2 linked regions of the Canis lupus familiaris genome follow. The main gene of each other region encodes a partner of the protein of the gene in region 2 in a complex. Links are inferred from orthologs where the notes say so. Each region holds a gene or a part of one and is shown on either strand. Other genes may lie near its edges. The genes, in order: IZUMO1R and IZUMO1.

Region 1 (4,350 bases), on a different chromosome or scaffold from region 2:
CTGGGCCAGTAATCGTCACTGTTCCCAAATAAAGCAGACACAAGCCCCCCACCCCCAACACATAATCTGATTCTGACATTTGATTTTTTCAAAAACAGACTTCACTTGGGACCCGGACAGCATCTACGCTGGAGGTAACCCACTCAGCTGGTCCTTATGCAGCGGACAGAGTGTCTACCTGGGTTCAGATCCTAGCTCTGCCCCCCCCAGCGGAGCCTCAGGCTCCCCATGGTTAAGTCGGGGAGGGCATTCAGGTTCGGGCCGTTCCCAGGGGTGAGTCAGACTGTGTACCGAAGGCACCAACCCAGCCTGGGCCCTTCAGGGTGCTCGGCCCTCAGTGGCTGTGATCACCACGGCGGAGCACTCCATTTCCCAGCATGCAGGCTAACTCCTGTCTGCACATCAGCTGTGCACCCGAGCAACACAGATGGGCTGTTTCCTTCAAGTATAAAAATCCTGGGATCCCTGGGTGGCGCAGCGGTTTGGCGCCTGCCTTTGGCCCAGGGCGCGATCCTGGAGACCCGGGATCGAATCCCACGTCGGGCTCCCGGTGCATGGAGCCTGCTTCTCCCTCTGCCTGGTCTCTGCGCCTCTCTCTCTCTCTGTGACTATCATAAATAAATAAAAATTAAAAAAAAAAAAGTATAAAAATCCTCTTATTATTCTAATTTCCTACATAATGGTTAACACCTCAGTCACCTTGGCTGCTTGTAACCTTGGAGAGGGGACTTGTTATAAGAAACAGGCAAGGAGGGGCACCTGGGTGGCTCAGTGGTTGAGCCTCTGCCTTCGGCTCAGGGCCTGATCTTGGGGTTCTGGGATCGAGTTCCACATCGGGCTCCCCACAGGGAGCCTGCTTCTCCCTCTACCTGTGTCTCTGCCTCTCTCTCTCTCTCTCTCTCTCTGTGTCTCACGAAGAAATAAATAAATCTTTTTTAAAAATTAAAAAAAGAAAAAGAAACAGGCAAGGAGAGGGGCTCCTTTTCTAGTGTTTTCGTCATCTTTGGGGCTCTCCCAAGAGTCCTGTTCAAGTTTTGCAACCTCTCCTGGTTGAGAACTTTCTTGTGAACATGATCACTGCTGAGGACACTTGTAGAATATGTCATGGGACAGGGGTCTCCGCATGCTCAGGGAGGCCATTTCATGGGTTGTGATGGGGCTTATTTGGTTTTGCTGGTTTGGGCTGTGGTCACACATTTAAATTCTTGGGTCTCGAAGGCCCTGCTTCACCTCTGTGTCACTGTGTCTGTTCGCTAGCAGGAACCTGACAGAGGTCACTGTCCCTCAAGCCACCAGGTGGTGCATCCCAGGTGTCTGAGCTGACAAAGGGGCAGGTAGGGCCGCGTGCAGAACGGGTCTGGGGCCCAGAGACAAAGGCTAACAGGATAAAGGAGAATAATTAAAGCTACTAAGATTTACTCTGTGCCGGGCACGATGCCAAGTCCTTTCCGTGAATTTTCTCTTTCCTCCCCCCCCAGCCATCCCTGTTATGAAACAGCCCTTTATACAGACAGGCAGACTTGGAGAGTTCGCCCCTTTCTCCGGGTCATCCAGCCGGCAAGGAGCGGAGCCCAGAGCAGAAGTCAGTAGCGGACCAGAGCCAAGGATCCTCCCCGCTACCGGGTCTCCGCTTCTCTGAGAAAGTGGAGGCCCGAGCTCCAGCCACAGGAGGCCCCTCCACCTCGGGAGATGGATGCTCTTCAGCTGGAGCCACCTGGAGCTCTGCAGCGCTCCTGCTTTAACTGGGGCCACCTGGAGCTCTGCAGCTGCTCCCAGACTCCTAGGAAGGGGGTGGGTGATAAATGGGCCTGACGGCAGCCCCCAATCTCAGGACGTAGAAGGGAGTGGCTCCTGCCTTGAGGGTAAGTATGAAGAAAGCGCTAGAAGGGGCAGCATCTTTCCTCTGTTCCCCTGTTGCACCATCCCTCCTACTAGGGTCTGGGGGACTGTCGGGCCAGGGGCTCCTGGGGGTGGGGTGGTGGGTGAAACTAAGGAAGCTGTTGTTTCCCAAAGTGTCGGGCATTTGAGGCAGGATGCTTTTCTGCCTTTCTTCTTCCAGTCTCTCGTTCCCCTCCCTCACGTTACCAGTACTACCCAGAACTGAGACCCACACTCAGTCCTTGGGACAGTGGAGGGGATGGAGTGGGTGTCCTATCACACAAGCAGATGTATCTCCTGTCTGCAGTAGGCCATGGAACGGTGGTGGCAGCTCCTGTTAGGGCTGTGGATGGTCATGCCTGTCTGGGCTGGGGACGAGCTGCTCAATGTCTGCATGAAGACCAAACACCACAAACGAGAGCCTGGCCCAGAAGACAAGCTCTATGAGGAGGTATAGAGGCCGGACCTTGCCTGGGAGTGGGAGTGAGGCTGCGTTGGCAGAGCAGGGAAGGGACACAATTGCCAAGATGGTTTCTGAACCACCATCAACCCTGACTCATCTGGTTCCTTACGTTGGCATTTGGGCAAGGCCACTGGAGGGACAGTGTGGCCCCTAGAGAGCAGAACTGTTGAGTGCTTCAAAGTTCCCATCTCTGGCTGCCTGGACGCTCGGGGAACAGGGGCAGATGGTGATCCCAGAGGCCCATCACTGGTTCAGCTTAGATCAAACAAGGTCCTCCTTCTTTAGCCTTCCTACCAATAGCCACTGGGGAGACCTAGGTCTTAGGTGACCCTTCCTCAAGCCTGAAAAGCCATTGACGGGAGCAAGGGAAGAGTTGTGGAGCTGCCTTTTACCTGTGAGCTCTGCTGGGCTCTGGTGCCCTTCCACCCAGTGCTCCACATTGCCCTGGGTGTCGTGGGGTTCCTCTGCTGCCCCTCGGGAGCAGAGACCCTGGGACCCCTGTCTCCAGGGGACTTTGCAGCCCATGGCAGGGAGATTGGTGGGCAGGTGCCCTTTGGCTGTGAATTTTGACCCGCCTCAACATTTCTTCTGTAGGAGTGTTGCTGGCCTGAAGGCCTCCCACTTGCCCAGTGGGACAAAGGGGACAGGTTTACCTTTCTGCCCTAGACACTCCTGAGTCTCCTGCGTCCTACCCGACCCCCAGCCTTTTACTGCTTCATCCCCTCAGTGCATCCCCTGGGCAGAGAAGGCCTGCTGCACAGCCAGTACCAGCTGGCATGCCCACCTGGATGTGTCCCTGCTCTACAACTTCAGCTTGCTTCACTGTGGGTTGATGATGCCAGGCTGTGAGGAGCACTTCATCCAGGCTGTCTGCTTCTATGAGTGCTCCCCAAACCTGGGGCCTTGGATCCAGAAGGTCAGAAGGTGGGGCTGGGGAGGCAGGAGACACGTCCCCGCAGGTGCAGTGCCCTGTTCGAGGGGCACAAGGTCCACGATGCTAGCGGGAGCAGGACGCGCCGCCCCCCACAGACAAGAGCAGAGCCAGGGAGGGGTTGGGATAAAAGATGGAGAGGAAGCCGCCTCTGGCCCCAGGAGAAGGGCAGGGGGGGAACAGATGGGAACTGTAGCATGAGGGACTGTTCGAATCCCGCCTTCTGGATGTAGGAGCTGTGTAGCCTGGGCCAAACAATGTAGCCTCTTAGGGAAGGGACGCTCACAGGCTTCATAAGCGAACACCCTCAGACGGCCCCGCACAGCAGCCTGGGCCGCCGGGCCTCTTGGGAGCAGGGCTGTCAGCACCCTTGTCTCTTGCACCGCCGGGACCCAGGTGGGCTCGAGCGGGCAGGGAGAGCGGATCCGGGACGCGCCCCTGTGCTGGGAGGACTGCGAGCAGTGGTGGGAGGACTGCCGCACGTCTTACACCTGCAGATCCGACTGGCTCGGCTCCTGGGACTGGAGCAGGGGTGAGTGGTGCTGGCAGCGCCCCACGGGGGGGGGGGGGGGGGCAGGGGCAAAGGAGGGCCGTGAGGGCGCGGGCGGGCGTGGCGGGAAGTGAGCGCCCCCCCCCCCCCCCCCCCAGGGAAGAGCCGCTGCCCCTGCGGGGGCCGCCTGCCGCCCTTTCCCGCGTTACTTCCCCACGCCCGCCGCCCTGTGCCAGAGGATCTGGAGCGGCTCCTTCCAGGCGAGCCCCGCGCGCAGGGGCAGCGGCCGCTGCCTGCAGAAGTGGTTTGAGCCGGCCCGGGGCAACCCCAATGAGGCCGTGGCCCGCCTCTTCGCCGCCCCCGCCCGCGCCCGCGCCCCCGCCCGCCGCCTCTCCTGCAGCCTGGCCGGCCTGGCCGCCTTGTCCCTGCTGCTGGCGGTGCTGTCCCCGCGCCCCCGCCTGCGCCCCCCGCTGCGGCTCAGCCTGGGCCCGGGCGGCCCCCTTTCCCGGGCCCCCCCAAGGGAGCAGCACGGCTGGGGCGCTGCTGGGCCCCTGGCCGCGGGAGCCTGTGCCCGAGCCTGAACGCTCA
Region 2 (4,576 bases):
TTTCCCCACGGACAGCAGCAAGCTGTTGCTCCCTAAAACCTAGACCCAAGCTCAAGGGGTCACAGAGGCCTGGGGAATTCAGGGTTTCGGGTTGTACAGGGGTGAGATAATCACGGGGTCTCAATGGGGGAAATGGGAGTCCAGGGTATACTGGGGCAGGGCATAGGGTCTCCGGGGATCAGAAGCAGCAAAATCTGGTAGATCATGGGCCTTAGGGATTGTAGATGCAAGCCTCTGGATACAAAGATCAGGGGGCGCACATAAGCCTGATGGACTCGGGGTTCAAGGGTTACAGGAGTTAGTGGGTCCCACCCTGTAAAATGTGTAATTGTTCAGGCCTGCAGAGATTCGATGCCAGCTGAGCTCACAATCCAGGACCAGGTCTTCCAGTTCATGGACCACGACTTCGTGCACTGGGGATAGGGAGTTACTGTGGGATGCTCCCTCCCAACTCGCTCCTACTTGGTCTCGGCCAGCTCCAGCCCCGCCCCCTCCAGAGTCGGTCCCTCCTCTGGCTCCGCCCCTCTTTGCGTCGACCCCTCCTGCTGGTCCCAGCTCTCTCACCTCCGCAATCGATGGACTTTCGACAAGTGTGTATTCTCTTCAAGCAGTTATGGCACCAGATCAGAGTCTGCAACATCTGACCTGAAGGGGCAGCATCAACGCTGTATTCGCCCTGAGAGGCGAGGCTAAAAGGAGAGGGCAGGGCCAAGGGCAGGGGCGGGGTCAGGTGCCCAAGTCCCTAGGAGGTCAGCCCAAGGGGCGGGGCTACGAGGAAGCCCGGCAGCAAGAGGGATCCAACCCGACTCGGTGAAGAGCGCAAATAGAATAGGACCCGCTCCCCCGTGAGTCCGTAGTGCCGAAGGAATATTGGAGACCAGGAACCTCTCAGAAGTGGAAAATTAAGAAACATCGAGACCCCAAGGGGGAGGTTCATAACCGGGCGACGATGAGGGATAGAGGACCAGCTCCTATAATCCGGACTCACCACATTTGTTGGGACAAAAACCTGCCTCAGAAGAAAGAAAGAAAGAAAAAAAGATGATCAGATTTCTAAGTTAAAAGAGATTGGGGGGGGGGGGGGGCGAAGGACTAGGTTGGGGTTTGGGCTCTTGGGTTTGAGGGAGGAAGGTGCCTGGATCCCTGGGTCCCCAGGAAGGTGTCTGGATCCCTGGGTCCGAGGACAGAATTGCAAGAACTGAGGGGCTGGAGACGGGGACTGTGGGACTTTTGAAGAAAGGGGCTGTGGTCCCTGACAGACTCCCATCTTCCCTCACCCTTTTTTTGGAACTGGGTTATAGTTGTCAGAATGGAAGCTTTTTGCTTGATTAACATCCAGAATATCTGACTCAGGAAAGCCTCACCTGGGAAGGAACAGGGGTGACACAGAGTGCTTCCTCTCTCCCTCACCCATCCCAGGAGTGAGGTACAGGAAGTTTGTTTCTGTCAGAAGAGCCTGGCATTCCACTTGGTGTCTTCTCAGGGAGGGACAATGAAATTCAATGACCGCTTAACATAATGCTGGGCCACTGAGCTAAGCGACAGCTGGCATGAAGGCATTATTTTGATCTTCATTTAGAAATGACAAAGCTGTGAAATCCCTCACTCAGGCCCACACAGGAGATGACAGAGCTGGAATTCGAACCTAGGCAGTTTGGCTCCAGAGCCACTACCAGACCAGCTGTCACCAACTATTACTTTTCTGGAAGATTCTGGGGCCCCTCCTCCCCTGGCCCCTCTGTGCATTTACCTTGTTCTTCAGAGTTTGTGATACGTTTCAAATTCTTCAGAAAATCCACGGATAACTTTTGCAGTGTGGGGGAATCTGGAGGAGGGGAGGGAAAAGGGGAGATAGAACTCCAGATTCAAGCCTTTCTGCCTCATTGGCTCACCTAGTCTTAGAAACTACAATATCCATGGGGCTACTGGGCAAGGCTAGGACTGGTAAAGGGATTGCCTGACCGTTGCCTTCTGGGAGTTGTAGTTTTTCACATAAAATTGCAGGCTAAGGGGGAGGGAAACACGGCCTTTGCTAGCCCGGGGTAAACCGGGAATCTGCATCTTGGCCTTCTCCATTCCGAACCCAGTAGACTCTGGCTCCAGTCCTTCCCTCCCTTCCCACCCTGGCCCCACACCCAGCAATCCTAGCCCCAGACCAGACCCCTCCTTTCCCAGGACTCAGGATTTCCACGCTCTTCCCTGCCCTCACCGACAACCCCTAAATGTTGATCATTTAAATCTGGGATTTTCTTGAAATCGTTCAGCAGATATTTTATCCTGTCCAACACTCCTTGCAGTTCCTGACTCCGACTCGGCAGGTACTCCATCTCAAAGTGGTATAGCGCCTCCACGACCTTTGCATCGCAAGTGACACAGCCCCGGGCAGGAAGCAGGCAGCCGGCCAGCGCCGCCACCAGGAGGGGAAGTTGCGGACCCATTGCGGCCAGAGCGCTCAGTCCGCGCAGTGCTTGGGGGAGGGTCCTCTCACCCTAAACGTTCACGCTAGGAAGAAGAGAGGGAAGCGTTAGACTCGAAGCTATTCCTCGAGACGAAGACCCCCAAAATATTTGCAGGGCGCACACTTCTCGGTTAGGAAACCGGGAAGTCCGGAGATCCGGTGCACCGTTAACAACCGCTCTCCGATCTTGGCCTCGACTGTTGCACCCTCAAATACTAGGGTTCGCTGAAGAGCCGAATCCGGGCTGAGGGCTTTTAGGACAAGCAGGGCCCGTCCTTCCAACTCTATTTTCCCGCGAATAAAATTAAGGATTTTGGGGGGAGAGGGTGAGGTTGGTCGCGTAATTTGGAGAGCTTTTTGAATGGAGTCAAGGTCACCGTTCGCCCGATCTACAAGGAGTTTCCACAGCTTCCAGCTTCTAGCTTCCCACTTGGGGCCGCAACTTCCCAGAAGATGCTCCCTGGGAGTTTCCTTGGCCCCGCCCCACAAGCCCAACGCTGAGTCTCATTAGACCGTAACAAAGGGAGGCTCCGCCTACCGTTCCGTGATATCACAGAGACCGCTGTCTTTTCAGACCAGAACTTTCCTAGCGTCTACCGAAAGGAAAAGTATTTTGTGCCCTCCGGCTTCTAAAGCCAAGGAAAGGGCTTCTGGTCTTCAGCTTCCTCCCGTCCTTGAGCCCCCGGACCCAGGCTTCCGGCAAAGTGCACAGGACCTTTTGCAAACCTGGCTTCGAGCCACGACCCTGAGAGAAGTGGCCCGTTCTAGCCCTCAGACTACGACTCCCAGGAAGCCCTGGGGTTCTCCCTAGCCGATTACTCTGGCCGCCGCGAGGACTAGATGGGAAATGTAGTTTCAAAATTGCGCACTTCAGACTCCTGGGTGGCTCAGGGCGCGATCCTGGAGTTTCAGGATCCAGTCCCACTTCGGGCTTCCCGTGTGGAGCCTGCTTCTCCCTCTGCCTATATCTATACCTCTCTCTCTGTCTCATGAATAAATAAATAAAAGAAAAATTGCCCACTTTGTTCACTCTTCCCTCTACCTTCTCTCCCTGGCCCAAGGGGCTTGATGCCAGGGTTCCAGAGGAAAGAGGCCTAGAACCAGTACTGAGAAACTGGGGCCCTATGGATCCAGCAGGTCTCTCCTTTTCTGCATAACTGAAACAGGCCACCAGAAAAACAAGCACCAGGGTTCACACAACTCTGAGAACCAGAGGCTGCCAGACCAGAGCAGGACAATACTCCTGCTTTGACATAAATAATGAGTCCCTGGCAGTTCTGCACTTTGCCTCCTCCTCCTCCTCCTACACACACACACACACACACACACACACACACGACTCCAAAAAATCTGCAGACAGAAGTTGGTGATGTGGACTTTTAATTCATACCTCCCTCTCTTCAACCTTGGCAGCTGAGTAGGGAGTGATCCCTCCAAACTCCTTGAGATGACTGAAAAAAGGGGCTTGCATTCTTCTGGTTAGATAGGGGATGCGATCACGGTTGTCTATAATAAAGCTAGCTATCCCCACTGCCTTCAAAAAGCCTCAAGGGGTTCCAGGAAGCTGAGTCCAGAATCCCATCCTCCTTTGCCAGACCCTGTGCTCTTTCCTGCCTGGGTTTGAGGCCAGCCCGGACTCTGCATACCTTCAGATCCTTTCAAATTCGAAGCCAGATTTAGTGGTTCTGTGAAATGCGGGTGGGGGTGGGGGGAGAGACACACAATCTTAGAGGCTTGCAGAAAAGCCCAAGGAAACAGTCATGCTAGCTGAATTACAGAAAATTGATTGCATCACCACCCCGCCGCTCCCACCCACCCTCACCCTACTGCCCCCGCAGCCCAGCCACAGACGTAGAGGAGGAAACTTTCAACTTTCATAACTGGGAGAGGTGACCTAGTGTGGTGCTTGTCTTTGGCAGCTTTTGATCTTAAAAAAAAAGTGTTCCTATACTTCTGGAAAACTCTGCTCCAGGAGCTTTCAGCAGCCGTCCCCTTTCCCCACCTCGCATGTTTTCAGCCTATCTGCTCAAACAAGTCTTTGTCCTTTTTTTCAGGGGCTGAAAGGTGGGACAGATTTTGGATCTGCTCACAGCTACAGATAGTTTTTCTTCCACCAAT

Evidence for each region.
Region 1: the proteins of IZUMO1 (region 2) and IZUMO1R are in contact, whole or in part, in a crystal structure (PDB 5JKC), measured with the Homo sapiens proteins. The link is inferred for Canis lupus familiaris from reciprocal best matches to the Homo sapiens genes IZUMO1 and IZUMO1R. Residues at the interface, in NP_872381.2 of Homo sapiens: Met75, Val77, Tyr134, Val141, Leu146, Trp148, Lys150, Asn151, Lys153, Glu155, Val156, His157, Ala158, Arg160, Lys161, Ser162, Tyr163, Asn239, Ser240, Ser241, Pro242, Ile245; in NP_001186135.1 of Homo sapiens: Lys42, Tyr44, Glu45, Ile48, Leu58, Trp62, His65, Leu66, Asp67, Gly80, Leu81, Leu82, Met83, Pro84, Gly85, Arg87, Ile91, Met145, Ser146, Tyr147, Gln171.

What each region holds. Positions count from the first base shown.
Region 1 is NC_049242.1:6,676,903-6,681,252, reverse strand, and holds IZUMO1R (sperm-egg fusion protein Juno), read left to right. Parts: upstream 1-1,492; 5' UTR 1,493-1,862; intron 1,863-2,185; 5' UTR 2,186-2,191; coding exon 2,192-2,329; intron 2,330-3,068; coding exon 3,069-3,257; intron 3,258-3,668; coding exon 3,669-3,804; intron 3,805-3,920; coding exon 3,921-4,066; intron 4,067-4,097; coding exon 4,098-4,343; downstream 4,344-4,350. UniProt on the Homo sapiens protein: Receptor for IZUMO1 present at the cell surface of oocytes (oolemma), which is essential for species-specific gamete recognition and fertilization.
Region 2 is NC_049222.1:108,251,463-108,256,038, reverse strand, and holds the start of IZUMO1 (izumo sperm-egg fusion protein 1), read right to left. Parts: upstream 2,958-4,576; 5' UTR 2,439-2,957; coding exon 2,210-2,438; intron 1,826-2,209; coding exon 1,751-1,825; intron 1,365-1,750; coding exon 1,278-1,364; intron 1,010-1,277; coding exon 989-1,009; intron 646-988; coding exon 565-645; intron 414-564; coding exon 313-413; intron 40-312; coding exon 1-39. UniProt on the Homo sapiens protein: Essential sperm cell-surface protein required for fertilization by acting as a ligand for IZUMO1R/JUNO receptor on egg.